Linked DNA regions of Caenorhabditis elegans. The protein of the gene in region 1 interacts with the protein of each later gene in a pairwise test. Each region holds a gene or a part of one and is shown in the gene's direction. Other genes may lie near its edges.

Region 1 (8,142 bases):
ATTCGACGATGAGCTGACCATTTGGGAGTTCATTCACGAAAATACGTGTAATATGGAGATGTTCAATGAGGTTAATTTGGATTTGTTCAAGGAATATCTACAGGAACATGAGTCTGTTTTCACGGCAGAGCAGCTTTACGAGTAGTAAGTTTTTCTTTTTCATTTGGATTTTTTTCACTTTAACGACACGAAAAGCTTTAATTTTCAAATTTTCAGCTACGTCACAACAATGAAAGCCACTCTCTACAAATGCGAGATGGAACCAGAAAAAATGCTCACTCTTTACAAGAATCTGGAGATCGAGGTGACTCCGCATGTCGAGATTCTACTGGAGGCCAAATTCAAAACTGTTCTGCGTGTTGACTCAAATAGACGTCTTCAGAAGTTCTCCGACTTTTCAGCAAGGCCAGTCACTTGTGGATCCGTATCGAGAAAAGAGAAAGTACCGGAAACTATTCCAGAAACACTTGAAGAAACCGTCCCAGAAACCGTCCCAGAACCCGAACGTCTTCAAAATCGAATGCCGCTAGATGTGGAAATTTCTGATTCCTTCGAGAAGGCAATGTGGAATCATGTCTCCCAGAACGCCGCCCGTCTAACCGGAAAATTTTTGATGACTGAACAATTTTGGGCCGAGCTGCTCCAATCACAACCGAATATTCCCATCAAGTCGGCTCACATTGTGCTCCACCATTTCAACGAAATGATGCTCGAGAACCTTTGGAAGCAGGCGATGGATCCGGATGCGAAACTGCAGATATTAAAAGACTTGTCGGTGCCATTGAGCTATCATCAGCGTAAATGGATTCTCGACAATGATCGGCTTGATGTGGCTTTGTCACTCGACGGATATGTAGTCAGCTGGGATATTGTGCGAGACCAGCCAGCTCCACGTAGCAAAATTCTTACCTGGACCCCAAGAACTCCGATGAGGAACAGGTATTGGAAAATATCATTTTTTAAGTTTAATTATAATTATTTCAGATCTCCCAGTCTTATGGTATTTCACGACGATATTCGTCCACCATCTCCGATTCAAGTCGTTTCGGATCCAACATCTTCATATTTCCGTTCAAGAGCTTCCACGGATCAACCAGGACCTTCAAGCCATCGATCACAGTCAGCTAATGTACGTGAAACGTATGCGCCGAAAAAGATTCAGAAGCGAGAAAAATTCACACTCGACGATCATATGTGTGCATGGAAGTTCGTCCATGAGAAGATTGTCGAGGCAAAGAAGGAAGGTGTCCAGTTGATGCCAAAGGGAATCGCGTTCTGGAGAGATTTTGTCAAAGTCTCACGATCGTCGAAATCTGCAACCAATTGGAGTTCGCACTTTCGAAAGATCATGTGCCCAGCACTCCACGAAATGCCACTTCACAAGAGAACAATTCTCTATCTTCTCAAGCATATTGATATTGAAATTGATGAGGAGGCTGAGAAGCTGTAAGTTAAGATATCGTTCATAATCCATCGTATAAATAATCCTTTTCAGCATCGAGCGAAAGTTTAACGTGAAGCTCCGTGTTGGCACAGACCGTAGCTTGATTTCTTATAGGCTCTTGGATGCGGTTGTGAAGGGAGAAGTGGTTGAGAAGGACAAAAAATCGGAAGAAGCTCGTGAGATAGAGGCCATTGATGTTGATGATGGCGATGCGGATGTAAAACAAGAAGTGGTTGAGAAAGACGGAAAAGCGGAAGAAGCTCCTGAGCACGAGGCCATGGATGTTGAGGATGACGATGAAGATCTGGATGAAACGATTCCACTAGAATCAGATGAGCAGATGATGGATGAAAATCTCGATACATCGGTTGCTTCTAAGAAAGAAGCAATGGACGTCGACGAATTGTCTAACAAAATGACGGATGCTGTGAACAATCTCCAGAAATCTATCACCGAGAGTACAAACGAGACTACCGTTCTCGAAGGTGCAGCTGCTGCTGTGATCTTGCTCTCTGAGTCGCTTCAAAATTTCTCCAGGGTGGGAATGGAGGTAATTTTACACTTGAATTATAATCTTAAAGACTGAATTCAATTGTTTTTTTTTTCAGAAATCGTCCTCCGACGTCTCATCATCATCTGAGCCAGTGTCATCAGCCGAGCCAGCTGCCGCTGCGCTCGTGCCGTCTGAAGCCGGTCAAGGATCTCGAGACGTTTTTACATCACAATCCGACTCAACGATTCCAGAGTCTTCTAGCTTTGATGAGCTGCTTCCAAATTCGTGCAGGGTGAAAATGGAGGTAATTTTAACCTGAATTCACTTGGATGATGATTTTAAAATACTGATTTAAAGTTTTTTTTTTCAGAAGTCATATTCCGACATCCCACGATCAGCTGAGCCAGTGTTCAAGGTTCCTATGATACCAAATCGCCTATCCCACAGCGCCTCCAATGGTTTAAAGCCGGCCGAGATTTCTCCAATTTTGGTGGATTATGATGCTCTGAACTCGCAAGTCGTTCAGCAAGTCTTGGACGATGCCGACGATAAAGATTTGGAATTGATACACGAAGCGTTGGAGAAAGCTTTTGGAAATCAGGAAAATTGGACTGACGTAAGAAAAAAAGAAATAATAGAAATTTTATCGGGTTTTTTTTTTCCAGAAGTCCACAGCGAAGACCGTTACAATCGGCACAATTATCAAGGCGATTGAGACCAAATTCACAGGAATCTCTCGTGAAGTTCTTCTGGAACAGAAGGAATCCATTGTGGAAGAGGTTCTCGGCAACGTCGAGAACGAGAAGGTTCTCGAAGTGCGCACAGAAGCCATCCGGGAAGCGCTCATTGAGGCTGATTTTGGGCCAACCAATTAAATAGATTTTGAAGTTCTGTTTTTTTCTTTTTCCCATTCAATTTCTCTCACAGTTAATGGGCTTCTCTCATTCCTTACCCCTCGCCCTAGTCATAAATAACTGTTTAACATTTTTTTCTATTCTTCTTTTCAATTTTTCTCAACATTTATGGATTTTCCATTCCTTTCCTCTAGTACAATTGTGTTCAATTTGTTGTTCTCTAAATGGATCTCCCGTTCATTACAAAAACTGGTTAAATAACACTTCTCCAAATGAACGTGTTTTATTCATTTTTTATTTGTCAAATAAACATTTTAAGCTTTAAGTTAACTTTTTTAATTTTTTTATTAAATAACTTCGAACACGGGAATTTTTTATATCAAAAGGTGCCTACTACAGTAATCAAAAGTTAAAGGAACATGGCTTACAGGTTACGGGTCTCGCAGCGAAATTCTAGCTTTGAAACATTTGTCATATTTTTTTCCCATGATCATGATAAATACGTTCCCCATATTTGTTACAAAATATAAAACAATTATTTTCAAATTTCCCTTGTGAATGCTGGCGCGTATTCGGTTTGGCGTCTTTTCCGTCCACCCGCAGTGCTCTTTTCTGCCGGCAAAACACAATTTCTCCCCTTCTCAGCAATTCAGAGAACGCGTCCTCATCGATTTTTGCTTCTGGCTGCAGGATTTATCTCCATTTTATTTAAAATATCAATATGGTTGATATTTTGAACACAAATTTCAATTCTGCAGAAATTACTGCATTCTTGACATCAATCCGTAAAATCTTAATTAATTGCTCGTTAAGAAGTTTAAATTTACGATTTTAATGTGTTTCTTTTTTCAGAACAATTTGGAGCTTTATGCCGACGAATCAAAATGGCTTTCCAACCAGACCAACACGAATTAGAGCAGGTGAGCGTCGTTAAAAAATCGATTATTTCGCAAAATCCGAGTTTTCAGGTAATTCAACTCTTACAACACGCTCACTCCACAGACAGAGATGTTCAACGTAATGTTCAAGTGCAATTGGTACAGCTCAATGAGCATCAGAAGTTCTGTTGTTATCTGGTTTACATACTGAGCGACATGAAGGAGATGATTGACGCGACGAGTCGATCGCTGGCCGGCTTGTTGCTTAAAAATAATATTCGAGCAAAATGGAATAAGTATCCGCAGGACGTGAAGTTTTTCGTCAGGACAACATGTTTGAAAAGTATAGGCGATCAAGAGCCACTGATTCGTGCGACAGTAGGTATCATTGTCACGACTATCGTTATGGAGGAGAATATGTGCGATTGGCCGGACCTTCTAGACACTCTGGCCACAGTTCTGATGCAACCCGACGAGCTGATGCAAGAAGGCGCTCTTGGAGCACTTCAGAAGGTTTTCGAAGACTCGGCGGATCGGTATGAGTCGGAATTTCTTCGGCCAATCATGCCGAAGCTTCTTGTTTTCTATGAGCATCATGCTGCGAAGATGCGGGCTCTTGCAATGAATTGTGTGAATTGCATTCTAATGGTTAATAATGATCCAATTGATTTTGCAATAGATCAATTTCTTACTTCGCTTTTCGCTCGCCACAATGACAATGATGAGGAGGTGCAAAAACAGTTATGTAGATCGCTGACGCTTCTGCTGGACACACACATCGAGAAAATGATGCCTCATTTGCCGAATGTCATAGAATATATTATTAAGAAGACTCAAGATCACAACGAGTCGATTGCCTTAGAGGCCTGCGAGTTTTGGCTTTCAATTGCTGAGAATAGTGATATTTGCCGAACAATGGTGCTTCCACATCTCGATAAGCTCATACCAGTTCTGCTTGGCTCCATGCGATATTCTGAGACAGATCCTGCGTTGAAAGCTAATGATGAAGATAGTTCGGTTCCTGATAGAGAGGAGGATATCAAGCCTAGGTTTCATAAGTCGAAGCAGCATGGTCTTGGTGGCCTTGTGGAGTCGGATGATGAGGAAGACGAGGACGATGATGACGATGGTGGTGGCGACTGGAATATCAGAAGGTGTTCAGCAGCATCTTTAGATGTTCTGGCTTCTATTTTTGGAAAGGATCTGTTGGATAAGCTCTTCCCCCTCCTCAAGGACACATTGATGAATGACAACTGGCTGGTCAAAGAGTCTGGAATACTTGCGCTCGGGGCAATCGCGGAGGGATGCATGGACGGCGTTGTGCCACACCTTGGCGAGCTCATACCATTCATGCTGGCTATGATGTTTGACAAGAAGCCACTCGTTCGATCGATCACGTGCTGGACGCTGTCCAGATATAGTTCGCATATTGCATCCGACGAGAACTTCAGGCAACAGTTTTTCAAGGATGTGCTCGCCAATGTGAGAATTTAGAATATATAAAAAACCTCGTAGTGCTTCAAAAAAAGTTTAAAAAAAAACTAGACTTAATTTGCAAAATTGTTTTAAAAGATTTAAAATGGGGTACTCTTTCAGTTAAATTCTAGTTGAACGCAAGTAATGTACTAAATTGAGAAAAACAAATTAATTTTCAGCTTCTCCGCTGTTCGCTCGACGGAAACAAGAAAGTTCAAGAAGCTGCATGCTCTGCGTTCGCAACTCTCGAAGAAGAAGCTGGCGAGCAGCTCATTCCATTCCTTGGCGAGATCCTCGATCAACTGGTCAAGGCGTTCCAGTGCTATCAGGCAAAGAATCTTCTGATTTTGTACGATGCCATCGGAACACTAGCGAATTCTGTGGGCGACGCGTTAAGTCATCCGGTTTATGTGCAAATGCTCATGCCGCCGTTGATGGAGAAGTGGGAGCGGTTGAGTGACGAGGACAAGGAGTTGTTCCCACTTTTGGAATGTATTTCTGCAATTGTTTCAGGTTGGTAAAAGAAATAACTAATTATAAGATAGTTTCGACTTCATACTTTTTACAGCAATGGGACAATCCTTCCTTCCATACATTCAACCGGTATTCACAAGGTGCTGTAGTCTCATCGAAAAGTGTGTTCAACAAAACCAACAACACATTATGGCTCCGGATCAAGTAGAAGCTCCCGAAACGGACTTTATCATTGTGGCGCTTGATCTCCTCTCGGGACTCGCTGAGTCGTTACCGGAACATATGGATCCCTTGGTGGCAAACAGCAAGCTGGTCGAGTTGATGTTGTTCTGCTCGTTAGATGTGACGCCAGACGTCAGACAATCGTGCTTCGCGTTACTCGGAGATTTGACGAAAGCGTGTCCAGAACGAGTGCTCCCACAGAGTAGTAAGTAGCTCCCGCGTCTACAGATTTGATAAACATTTTCAGAAATCTTACAATTTGCAGGCAATTTCATATTTTTTCTCGCCCAAAACCTGGATCCCTCCAAGATCAGTGTGTGCAACAATGCGATTTGGGCGCTCGGAGAGTTGGCGCTGAAAATGGGTCCCGCAATGAAACAGTTCATCGGGCCCATCATTGAACCTCTGATTGTTGTCATCAATAGCCAGCAGAATATGCAGCGGACGTTGTTGGAGAATACTGGTGAATATCTAAAAATAGTAAAAGCTTGGAAACTAGGTATTTAAATTTACAGCCATCACAATCGGCCGTCTCGGACAATGTTGCGGTGAAGAGCTGGCTCCCCATATCAGCCGATTCGTTCGCCCTTGCTGCTACTCACTTCGAAATATTAAGGATAACGCGGAAAAAGAGAGCGCGTTCATCGGTTTATGCAATATGATCAACATGAATCCCGTCGGAGTTCTCAATGATTTCATCTTTTGGTGTGACGCTATCGCTTCGTGGACAGTACCGACCGACTCACTTCGGGTTCTTTTTGCCGGGGTATTTGAAGATTTTCGATTTTTTTCTGACAAAATCGAAAAAATGTCGATATTTCATCGATTTTTGAATATATTGATGAGAAAAAACATCAAAAAATATATAAGACTTCAAAACAGCAAAAGCCCTCATTTTCAAACTAGAGAAAATTTTTCGATAAAAATGCAATTATCGAAAAACAAAAATTTCCGATTTTTTAAATAGAACAATCGATACGAAAATTGACAAAAAAAAATTTTTTTGGAAATTAGAAAAAGAAAACATTTTTTTCATTTTTCGGTTTTTTCAAAAATTCTGAAAAAAAAATCGATCGTCGACATAAACTAACTAGGGAATGGTGTTACCCCTGCAATTGCTAGGAGGACAAAACAAAGTGAAAATGGAAGATCAGATCTATGGCTACAAGAATCAGTTTTTGGAATCTGCTTAACTCGGTCCCAAAGCTGAAATTTTTGGCCTTAAAAATTAGTGCTTTTTTTGCTGAAAATCCCATTTTAAGTGTGTAGAATTGGCTACACAAACGTTTTGCACTGCAGCCACCGTTCGAATAGCCGATTGGTGAACACTTGCGTTCATTAATCCAGACGTCACAGGTTCGTCCCCCACTAGGTGTAATTTTTTTTGAATTTTTTCTCGAGCATAAATTATCCACAAAAACGCGGTTAATTTCGTTTTTAAATAGGTTCAGCATAAATTTTTTGGTTCCTGGAAAGCATGAAAGTCATGTGGAAACTTTTTGGAAAATTTAATTTTTTTGAAAATTTCAACTTTTTCTCCATCTGTGGTATGAAGATTTTTTCCAAAAAAAAAAAAAATTTTTTTGTTGAAAAGGGTTATGTAGTGTAGAACAGTTTTAATTTTGGTAAGTTTTTCAGCTATTACCTTCAGATAAGATAACAACCAAGTTATCAGAAACATATTGAACAATCGTTAGTTGTCGCCGCATCATGGGCGCAATCAGGTACTACAATTCAACTTTTTCAGACCTAATTAATTTTTCGAGGTTCGAAATGTTGAACCGCGAAAAAACAGAGTTTGCGGGATTTTTTGAATTTTACTTTATATTTATTTCCAAAATTGTGAGTTATTCCATTATTTTATTCCGTATTCGTAATGTCTTTGAACATTTCCAACGTCCTCTTTTTGCTGCACCAAAAATTCCCGGATCCTCTACCCGACAACCCAATTTGTACAAGAGAAGAAACGAAGCTTGCCGGTCATTTGGTTAATATCCTCAAACTGGCTGTGGATCACGATATTGATGTTGAAGAGCGCGACGAAGTTGCTGACGAGACTTTCAGTGATTGGGATTCAATAGAATTTGAGGTACGTAATTATAAGTCAGTGAAACATTAAAAAAATTTTATAGTTCTAAAATGTCCAAGTATCATATTTTGACTGTGAATAAAAAATATTTAAAATTGATTTTATTTACAGCCAAAAAGTGCTATATACCTAATGTTCACCTATCCTAATTTTGAAAGTAGACAAGGTTCAAATTTGAACCAAATGCTCGAAATCACTCAAAAACTCACACT
Region 2 (9,432 bases), on another chromosome or scaffold:
AACCAAATTTATTCGGCATTGATAAGTTTTCTGACTTTTAGACAAAAATCATTAAAAGGTTTTTTTTTAGTTTTAATCAAAATATAAAAATAATTGTTTGCTTTTTTATTCTTTATCTTTATCAGTCTTTCGTGCAAAGGTGCTTCCCGATTTATCTATTAATTTACGAGAATGGACAAAAATTTTTATAGTACTTTTTTTCTCATTTATTGTCCAAATTCAAAGTTTTATTTGCGTATTTCTAGCGTGATTCTTAAAGAGCAAAATAGTAGATCCACACAAAATTTGTTTTGACCTACACCTGCCCGCTCTTTTTTGTATTGTTTTGTCTGCGCGCCGCCACGTTTCGTCATGCTGCGCGTCTCTTCCCTCTCTTCTCTCATTTCATATCATTTCATTCAGTCTTCGTACCATTACTGGTGGACAGTGGTCCGCTCTCTTTTTCATCTGCAGTTATTGCGAAATCTTTTATTTTCTGTTGAATTTTTTTTTTGTTTTTAGCCAAATTCTTGTAATTTTTCCACAATAATTCCATTTTTAGAGATTGATTTCTTGAGCGGCGATGGATAATCGTGGTCATTTTTCTTCAAATGGGAATTTCCCACCGCAAGGATATCACCGACGTGAGCAGTCCCAAGAAGGAATGAGAATCGGGAATCATCACGGACCGTTTTCTTCGGGCAACATGCGTAGTATTGGAGGTAAAAAAAAATTAAAATTCAATAGATTTATTAAACTGGTTTTTTTTCAGGCTCAGCTCAAAACCAGCAGCAACGTCATTGGACAAACATGCTCAATGGCTCAAATAATGTTGAGAATTCTTGGGTGTGCTTCTCTGGAAACACGTCTCTTGCCGATGATCCAAATGTTCTCTCCAATTTCTCTGCGTTGGCACAACAAAGAGTTAACCATTTTGATACAATTGTGCAGGAAAGGGACAATAGGAATGCGAGTTTCCTGAATGGTTCAGCAGTTGGAAATAACCTGAACACTTCGTTTAGCGTTTTTGGCAACTTGCGAGGAGGAGACCAAGATCATCGAGTTCTTTCCGATCACACTGGAATTTACACTGGTTTGGGATCCACTGGACAAAACGCTGTTGGAACCGGGATAAGACTGGCCGCTGATGTCGCGAACGGCAATTTCTTGGAGCAGAGAGCACCTACTGCCATGGGACACAACCAAAGCTATTCTGCACTGAACCAGTCATTAGCACCAACACTCCTTGACCAATACAATCAGGCACTCCTCGACCAATACAATCAGTCTTCACAAATGGCTCAAGGACGAGGATATCCGGCTCCAAATATAGCTTACGGTCTTCAAAATGCCGGTTTTCCAGCTCCACAAATAGCTCATCGGCCGAATACTCAAAATGCAGATCCTCAAGCGATGAATATGAATAACCGTTTAAGAGATCATACCTTCCAGATGCCACATACAAACGCTCAAGTTCCAATGAGTTCTCTGCCAGGTCTATTTAATTTATCCATGAATCACGGCTCCGGGAATCAACAGTTCCAAATGAATCAAAGCTCATCAGGCCCTGCACCTCAGTTGCCTAATCTGTCGGAAAGCTTCCAGATGGCGCAAGGGAGCTCTCAAGTTACAATGAGTTCCAGACCAGCTCACTCCAACACTTCTATGAATCACAGCTCGAGGAACCAATACAACCACGTGGATCAACGCCCATCACGCCCTGCACCCCATTTGCCAACTCTGACAAAGGAAGAGGAAGCTTTCTTGGAGACTCCAGATTTTGAACAATTTGGAAGACAATTGTACAACTACTTGCTTCCGGGAATCCTTCCAAATGGTGCTGCAGACACTTTCAGTAAGTGGAATTTGTGTGTTTATGTGATTTAAAATCATTTTAGGTGACGCTCCCAAGCATCAGTTGCTGAAGCTGGCAAAAACACTGAAGCCGATGCTCTACGACTACTGGCGGAAGACGATGCAAATGCAGAATCGTGGAGCCAACATCAACATTATTCAGTGGATTATTGATTTCAACGCCAAGTTTGCTGCTCTCAACAGTTCAGTTGCCAAAGCCTCAAACTCATCGGATGTTCTCAATCAAACTCTTCCAACTGCGGCTGAGGTTTCGGATGTTGCCAGGTGCATACTCTGCCTGTTGTTTGTTTTCTATCCTACTTTTTTCAGAGAGGATGCTTCGACTTCACAGCCATCCAAAAGCCGATCCATGTACATTCGTCCCGCTGCCAGTCTTGATAATACCTTGGAGACACTTGATGAGAATTTGGATTCTTCACAAAGTCATGCCGGGCCAGTTCCAGCAGCTTCAACTAAGCCCAAAACACCATCCTTTGAGAAGATGATTAGATACAGTGGCATCAAAAAGCGAAGCACAATGGACATGGATAATTTTGTTCGTATGCTTGATGAAAAGATCAACTTTTCGCCTGAGCCAAGCACTTCAAGGTATGTTAACCATAATAAACGAATTCCGATGTACTATTATTTCTTTTCAGTGATATTGCCAGCTCTGTGAAAGGCTACATGTCTCAATCCTTCCTCCACCAACAAGATGACGAAGCTCCTGATTGCACCAAGAATGTTCATTCTGAAAGTGATTTGAAACAAGCTGAGCCACAAGAATCGGACAAGCAAAGGTGAGACTTGTGAACTTATATAAATAACAAGCAATTTTTTTTTCAGTGACAAGGAATTGCCAAGCAATGAATGAGACGTTGGACAATTGGTTCGCCTACAAGAACACACTTACTGTGCTGCCATTTTGTACCATAACAATTCTATTTTTACCATACTAACCAATTTCACAATTACAAATTATATTTTCCTGTGATTTTCATCAACCATCAACCCATCTTGTGCTGTATTTGTATCTCATAGTAGAAACCTCCCAGCAACTAATTTTGACTTTTGGCTCGCCTGCCAACATCAATCTTATTACCCAATTTTGTACCATAACACTCTCTATTTCTACCACACTAACCAATTTCACGATTAGAAATTCTTTTTCCTGTGATTTTCTTCAACCATCTTGTATTGTACTTGTATCTCATAGTGCTCAGTTTCAGTCTTACCGGTTTTCCAGTCACTGTCCAGTACAATTTCACCGACTATTGTTGTTTATTTCGATAAAAATATTTTGTTCTAAATGTTTGAAATTTGTTGTAAAAACTGGAAATTACTAATCCAAACATATATCTTTCAAAAACAAATACCCATTGAATTATTTTGGTTTATTTTAAAAGTCATACCGTTTTTCACATGATGAAGATATTGAGAAAACGAGTTCAGGTTTAATGGTAGGACAAACTTGTAAAGTTCAATTATGATGTGGCTTGATTCGGTGCATTTTTATATTTTTCAAGTGATCAACCTAAGACCTCATTTGATCAACGAATGCTCGTATTTAACTAGGTTAAGTAGATAAAAACGTGTGGATCACTTTTTTAGTTAAAAGTTTCTTGCTGAAACGTATAGCTTTTGGAGCATACTTATTGGAAAAGTCTAAATAGTCGCCGAAAAATTGAAAGCGAGTATTGGCCAGCACTGTTTTAAATAGTTCAACAGCAGAAAATTGCACACCAATAAGACTTCAGAGAATTTTATTTTGAGAAACTCTGAACTATGCAATTTTTTCTTGAAATCCCTACAACTCTAATTTCTGCATACTTTAAACTCTCAAACGCCAGAATTTCATAAGGTTTCTGAGAAATTTCAAACGATCACATTCGCCCTTTCACAGCTAACTTAGGTTTTCAAATTCAAAGAAAAAAATCATGCATAAATAAGAACCGTTCCATTTTTATCTGTTCCAGTTTACAATGGTAAAATCAATAATTCGCGTGTGCACTGTTTTCATCATATCCATCGTCACAGTTCCGTCACGCACTTGCTGCGTCTCTTCCCTCTCACTTTTCCTTCCGAGGCACTCCATTCAGTCTTCGTTCCATTACACGTGGACAGTGGTCCGCTCTCTGTTTCATCTGCAGTTGTTGCGAAATCTCTTTTTTTTCTTTTTTCTTAACATTTTTCTACAATTTTTCAATTTTTAGGTTTCCATTTGTTGCGCGGCAATGGAAAATTGTGATGATCTTTCATCGGATGAGAATCTCCCACCACCCGGAGATCACCGTCGCGAACAGTCCCAAGAAAGAGCGAGAGTCGGGAATCGTGATGAATCAGTTTCTTCGACCAACATGCGTAGTATTGGAGGTAAAAAAAAATAAATTTAGATTCACTATATTTATTAAACCGGTTTGTTACAGGTGCAGTTCACAACCAGCAGCAACTTTATTGGACAGACATGTACAATGGCTCAAATAATTTGGAGAATTTTTGGCTGTGCTTCTCTGGAAACACGTCTCTTGCCGATGATCCAACCGTTCAATCCGATTCATCCGCGTCCACACAAAGTAGAACTAACCAAAGTGGTACAATTGCACAGGAAACGGACAACAGGAATGCAAGCAATTTTCCGCCACGATCAACAACTCGGCGTGGACAGACATATGAATCGAGAGACGAGTCTCAAGGAGGACAGGCGCCCTCACATCAGAACCAGGTTCCAGGTGAGCCTCAAATCTAAACTTTGATTAGAAAATTATCTACGTTCACAGTGCATTACTTCAACAGTCGGGAGAATCATATATTCATGTTGTATGAAATTTTCTCTCTTTATTTCTTACTGAAGTACCGGGTAATAATTGAATGAAAATAAGTTATCAAAACATAACAAATTGATAAGGTTCCAATTTCTATTTATTTTTTATATGAAACATTTATCGGAAACATAAGTACAACTTCATTTATTCTTTGGCACTTCATATATTAATAAGCTAAATTGTTTCAGGTGTTGATCGCGATGAGTATGCAGGTGACCGGAGTAACGTTTCCATCAATCTACCATCCGTAGATCAGTGGCGCGAATACAGTTTTTCTGATAATTCGTTTCAAGGCGAAAGCCGGACTGTCCAACGGAGATCATCCCGGGCCACACATCGCGTCAAAAATCAATTTGGCAGCATTGGAGATGGGAGAACGAGCAATAATACGAGCCTCCAAGAGCCAGTGATTCAGGATACAAGAAATCGAAATCGCTCTGAATCTTCTTCCACCATGTCATCGCAATCACGAACAGAACATGCTCCAATTTTCCGGTTGCAATATAATTACCAAAGAGAGGCAGACAATAGATCTTCACGATTGGTTCAAATACAAGGACATTCGGCTCCAAATAATGCAAACGGTCTACAAAATACGGGCGGTCAAGCTCCAGACATTGGTCCTGAGGTCAATGGTCAGAGTTCCGATACTCGAGCAATGAACATGGGTAATCAGATGGCTCAAGGCGATTCCCACGTTCCAATGAATTTCGTACCAAGACCTTTGTCTAACGGTGTTCCCAGGCTTCACGGAGTTCCCAGGCTTGTAGACATGTACGATTATGAACTTGCTCAGAGGGCTCATGCACGAAGATATCCGACTTCAAATATGCCATACGGTTTTCCAAATGCCGGCTTTCAAGCTCCTCCACACATGGGTTTGTGGCCAAATAATCAAAATGCAGATACTCGAGCAATGAACATGGATAACCGTTCGAGAGATCGTACCTTCCAGATGCCTCCTGCAAACGCTCAAGTTCCAACGAGTTCTCTGTCAGGTCTATTCAATTCATCTATAAATCACGGCTCCGGGAATCAACAGTTCCAAATGGGACAGAGCTCATCAGGTTCTGCACCTCAATTGCCTGCTCTTCCGGAAAATTTCCTGATGGCTCATGCAAACTCTCAAATTCCAACGAGTTCTCTGTCAGGTCTTTTCAATGCAATGAATCACGGCTCCGGGAATCGAATGAACCACAGCTCATCAGGCCCTGCACCTCAGTTGCCCAATCTGCCGGAAAGCTTCCTGATGGCTCATGGAATTGGTCAAGTTGAAACAAGGTCCCCAGCAGGTCCCTCCAATTCCTCCATAAATCACGGCTCCGGGAATCAACAGTTCCCAGTTCAACAAAGCTCATCACGCCCTGCACCTCAGTTGCCCAATCTGCCGGAAAGCTTCTTGATGGCTCATGGACTCTCTCAAATTCAAACAAGTTCCACAGCAGGTCCCTCCAACTCATCTATGAATCACGGCTCCGGGAATCAACAGTTCCGAATGGGACAGAGCTCATCACGCCCTGCACCTCAGTTGCCCAGTCTGCAGGAAAGCTTCTTGATGGCTCATGGAATTGCTCAAGTTGAAACAAGTTCCACAGCAGGTCCCTCCAACTCATCTATGAATCACGGCTCCGGGAATCAACAGTTCCCAGTTCAACAAAGCTCATCACGTCCTGCACCTCATTTGCCTGATCTGATAAGGCAAGAGGAAGAATTTTTGAACACTCTGGAGTTTGAGCAATTTGCAAGGCGATTGTACAACGACCTACTTCCTGGAGTTGATCCAAATTATGATTCAGGCACATCAACCAGTAGGTGGAAAAATGTGTATTCTTTGATTTCAAATAATTTTAGGTGAGACTCCAGTGCTAAAGTTCTCAATAACACTAAAGGCGATGCTTTACGACTACTGGCGGACGATGGTGCAAATGCAGTATCGCGGAGCGAACATCAACTTCCTCCAATCCATTATTAACTTGAATGCCAGGTCTGCTGCTCTCAACAGCTCAAACGCCAGAGCCTCAGGCTCGGCGGATGTGCAGAATCAAACAGTGTCAGCGACGGTCGAAGGAGCAGATGATGCCAGGTACACACAGGAATCCAGTCCGATGCCTCGGCATTTTTTGGCACTCGCTGCATTAAAAAAAAGTTTGGTTATAATACACGCGTACCAATTAATTCTTTATCTGAGCCGAGCACATCAAAGTATTCCAATAAAAAAAGTACCAATTATAATTTTCAGTGCCAATGTCAACGCATTGAGCGACTTGCTGGCCCAATCTTTCCCACGCCAAGCAGAAGGAGAAGCTTCTCGTCGCAACGATATAGATCATCCCGAAGATGATCTGAACCAGGCTGATTCACCGAAATCAGACAATCAGAGGTAAGCGGGAAAAATAGTTAAATATCACATCTTTATAATTTCAGTGACAAGGATCCTCCCAGCAACTAATTTTGACTATTGGCTCAACTACAAACATCAATCTTACGACCCAATTTTGTACCATATCATTTCTTTCCAATTTTACCATTTCTAGTTGTTTTTCTGTGATTTTTTTCAACAAGCAGCCCAACTTGTATCGTACTTGTATCTCATAACAGGAACTTCTCAGCAGTTAATTTTGATCAATGGCTCGCCTACCAATAACAGCCTTATTACCCACTTTTTTACCATACCATTTCTTCTTACCATACTAACCAATTTTACGACTTCTAGTTTTTTCCTGTGATTTTTTTTTCAACAAGCAGCCCATCTTGTATTGTACTTGTATCTCATAGTGCTCAGTCTCAATTTTTTTCGGGTTCCTAGCCACTGTCAAGTATAACCTCACCGGTCGTTTTTATTGTTGTTTATTTTAATGCATACAATTATTTTTATTTATTTATTTATATTTATTCATCAGGCAACAATCACAATGACACAATTACGACAAAGCAGTGAAGTGAAGGAAAAAGGAATGAATAACTAGATATAAAATAATCATTTGGACCCGCAAGAGTCCGGTGACTAAGTATGAGGGGGGGAAGAGGGTAAAACATTGTCAACAAAAAGTTGACCGAGACGTTTTCCGAACAAAATTTCTGAGACAGGCTTGGGGAAATAAGGTACTATTTTATTCCAGTAATTAAAATTTTTATGCAGGAAACTGTCATTTTTAACGCCGCATAGCTTAATTCTGTAAGGGAACCGGGTTTTGCTATTTTGCTCAGAATCTTTGTAACGAGAATAAAGAAACTTTGAAGCCCAAAGGATTATCTTTTCGAATGAATTAAATGTGAGTTTTGAAAGTTTACATGTTGGTAATTGGCAAAAGATAGATCTTCGATAGTAACTTATAACATGATTTTGAGAAAACTGTTTCATGTTTGAAAGTGTAAAAACAACAGCTTATGAAAATCTATTTCAAATTGTCAATATTGTACAGACCCGACTTTGTCTCCTATCCCTGCTTTTCTAAAAAAATTCCCTGATCTTTAATAAGCACAACCTAAAACGTGATAACTTTTGCTTGGCATTGGGACGCCCACAGAAATCGACGCCAATATTTCAAAAAGTGTCTCATCTGACGATAAATTTTATCACAAGAAAACTGATTATCATATTTTAAGTCCCCATGCCCGGGGCGAGCTGCAGATTGCTAAAAATTTCAAAAATCATGCAATGGAAAAAATAAAAAGTTTTCAAATTTCTAGTGCATAGAATTTTGAGGCTCAGATTGTTATAAAGTTATTATATTGGTAGAAAACTGGCTCAATACATGCCAAGCTGACAAATTATGTCAAATTTGAATTTAAAATTTCTTAAAATATATTGAAGATTAAGAATTACCGGTAATGCCAATTGCCAAAATTTTCCGATTACCGCACACCTTTGCCGCATATTATATGACTGATGTCAATAGAATTATTTTTTTGCCTTTACATAAGTGAACTTTCCTGTTGAATTTAAGCCAAATCAAAATACCTAGTGTTGTTAACTGATTTAAAAATTATTTGAACCTTTTTTTACATATATTTACTATTTGCTTAACACGGGAACACTCGTAGTGTTAAAGTTTGTTGAAATATTGAAAAATGTTCATCATTATTTGAAATTATTTCAGTAAAACAAAAAATATAAAAATCACATTTTCATCGTGCCGCAAAATCCCAGTTTCTTCAAAATTGATTAAAAAATGGGCCAGACATCATCTGAAGAGAGCGCCTCCATGACAGTAAAGATTTCGAGTAACCGACTGTCAATAGACTGCTCTCTTCAGTTTCAGTCGGCTCTCGATCAACTAACCTTGTCGGATAGTGAATACCAGATGTATAGATAATAATTGACAGCGTTGGTAGATGCCACTGCAGGCCAGGAAGCTGACAAAATATAACATGTTCAATGTTTGGCGAAAAATAATATTAACGAAGTAGAAACAATATGGTCTTTTAAACTCAAAAAAAAAGATTATCATTGGAAATATCAGGAAATTTTGAAATTTTTGTCCAATTAAATTGAGATATGTGGCTTTGCACTTCATGTTTTTACGTCTGTGCAATAACCTCTTATTTTTGAAAAATTATAGAAAACTACACTACGAACCTATATTTTAAATTACCTGTACATCTAAACCGATGGCACTGTGGGAAACCAGTGTGAATGCCTCGTTTACACACTCAGACGTCGAATGCGAGTAAAACTATGTGTGCGAAAAAGGTGTATGCCGTGTGTGAGTGTGTCGGTTTGCGCTGTCAGTCCAAAAAAGATGGGTCAGTCACCGCCCACCCCAACCGTCGATCA

What was found.
Region 2: the proteins of imb-2 (region 1) and meg-2 interact in a two-hybrid assay, tested with the Caenorhabditis elegans proteins (one large-scale study listed by BioGRID).

What each region holds. Positions count from the first base shown.
Region 1 is NC_003280.10:14,362,064-14,370,205, forward strand, and holds the start of imb-2 (Importin N-terminal domain-containing protein), read left to right. Parts: upstream 1-3,637; 5' UTR 3,638-3,675; coding exon 3,676-3,711; intron 3,712-3,759; coding exon 3,760-5,151; intron 5,152-5,324; coding exon 5,325-5,658; intron 5,659-5,713; coding exon 5,714-6,046; intron 6,047-6,088; coding exon 6,089-6,304; intron 6,305-6,356; coding exon 6,357-6,607; intron 6,608-8,142. Other genes in the region: tebp-1 (SPK domain-containing protein), read left to right, coding at 1-144, 217-939, 985-1,446, 1,496-1,994, 2,053-2,241, 2,308-2,553, 2,603-2,812.
Region 2 is NC_003284.9:13,920,744-13,930,175, reverse strand, and holds meg-2 (Protein meg-2), read left to right. Parts: upstream 1-4,046; 5' UTR 4,047-4,067; coding exon 4,068-4,206; intron 4,207-4,259; coding exon 4,260-4,562; intron 4,563-4,843; coding exon 4,844-6,463; intron 6,464-6,506; coding exon 6,507-6,738; intron 6,739-6,894; coding exon 6,895-7,035; intron 7,036-7,079; coding exon 7,080-7,104; 3' UTR 7,105-7,533; downstream 7,534-9,432. Other genes in the region: Protein meg-1, read left to right, coding at 563-701, 752-1,834, 1,878-2,118, 2,164-2,442, 2,493-2,633, 2,680-2,707.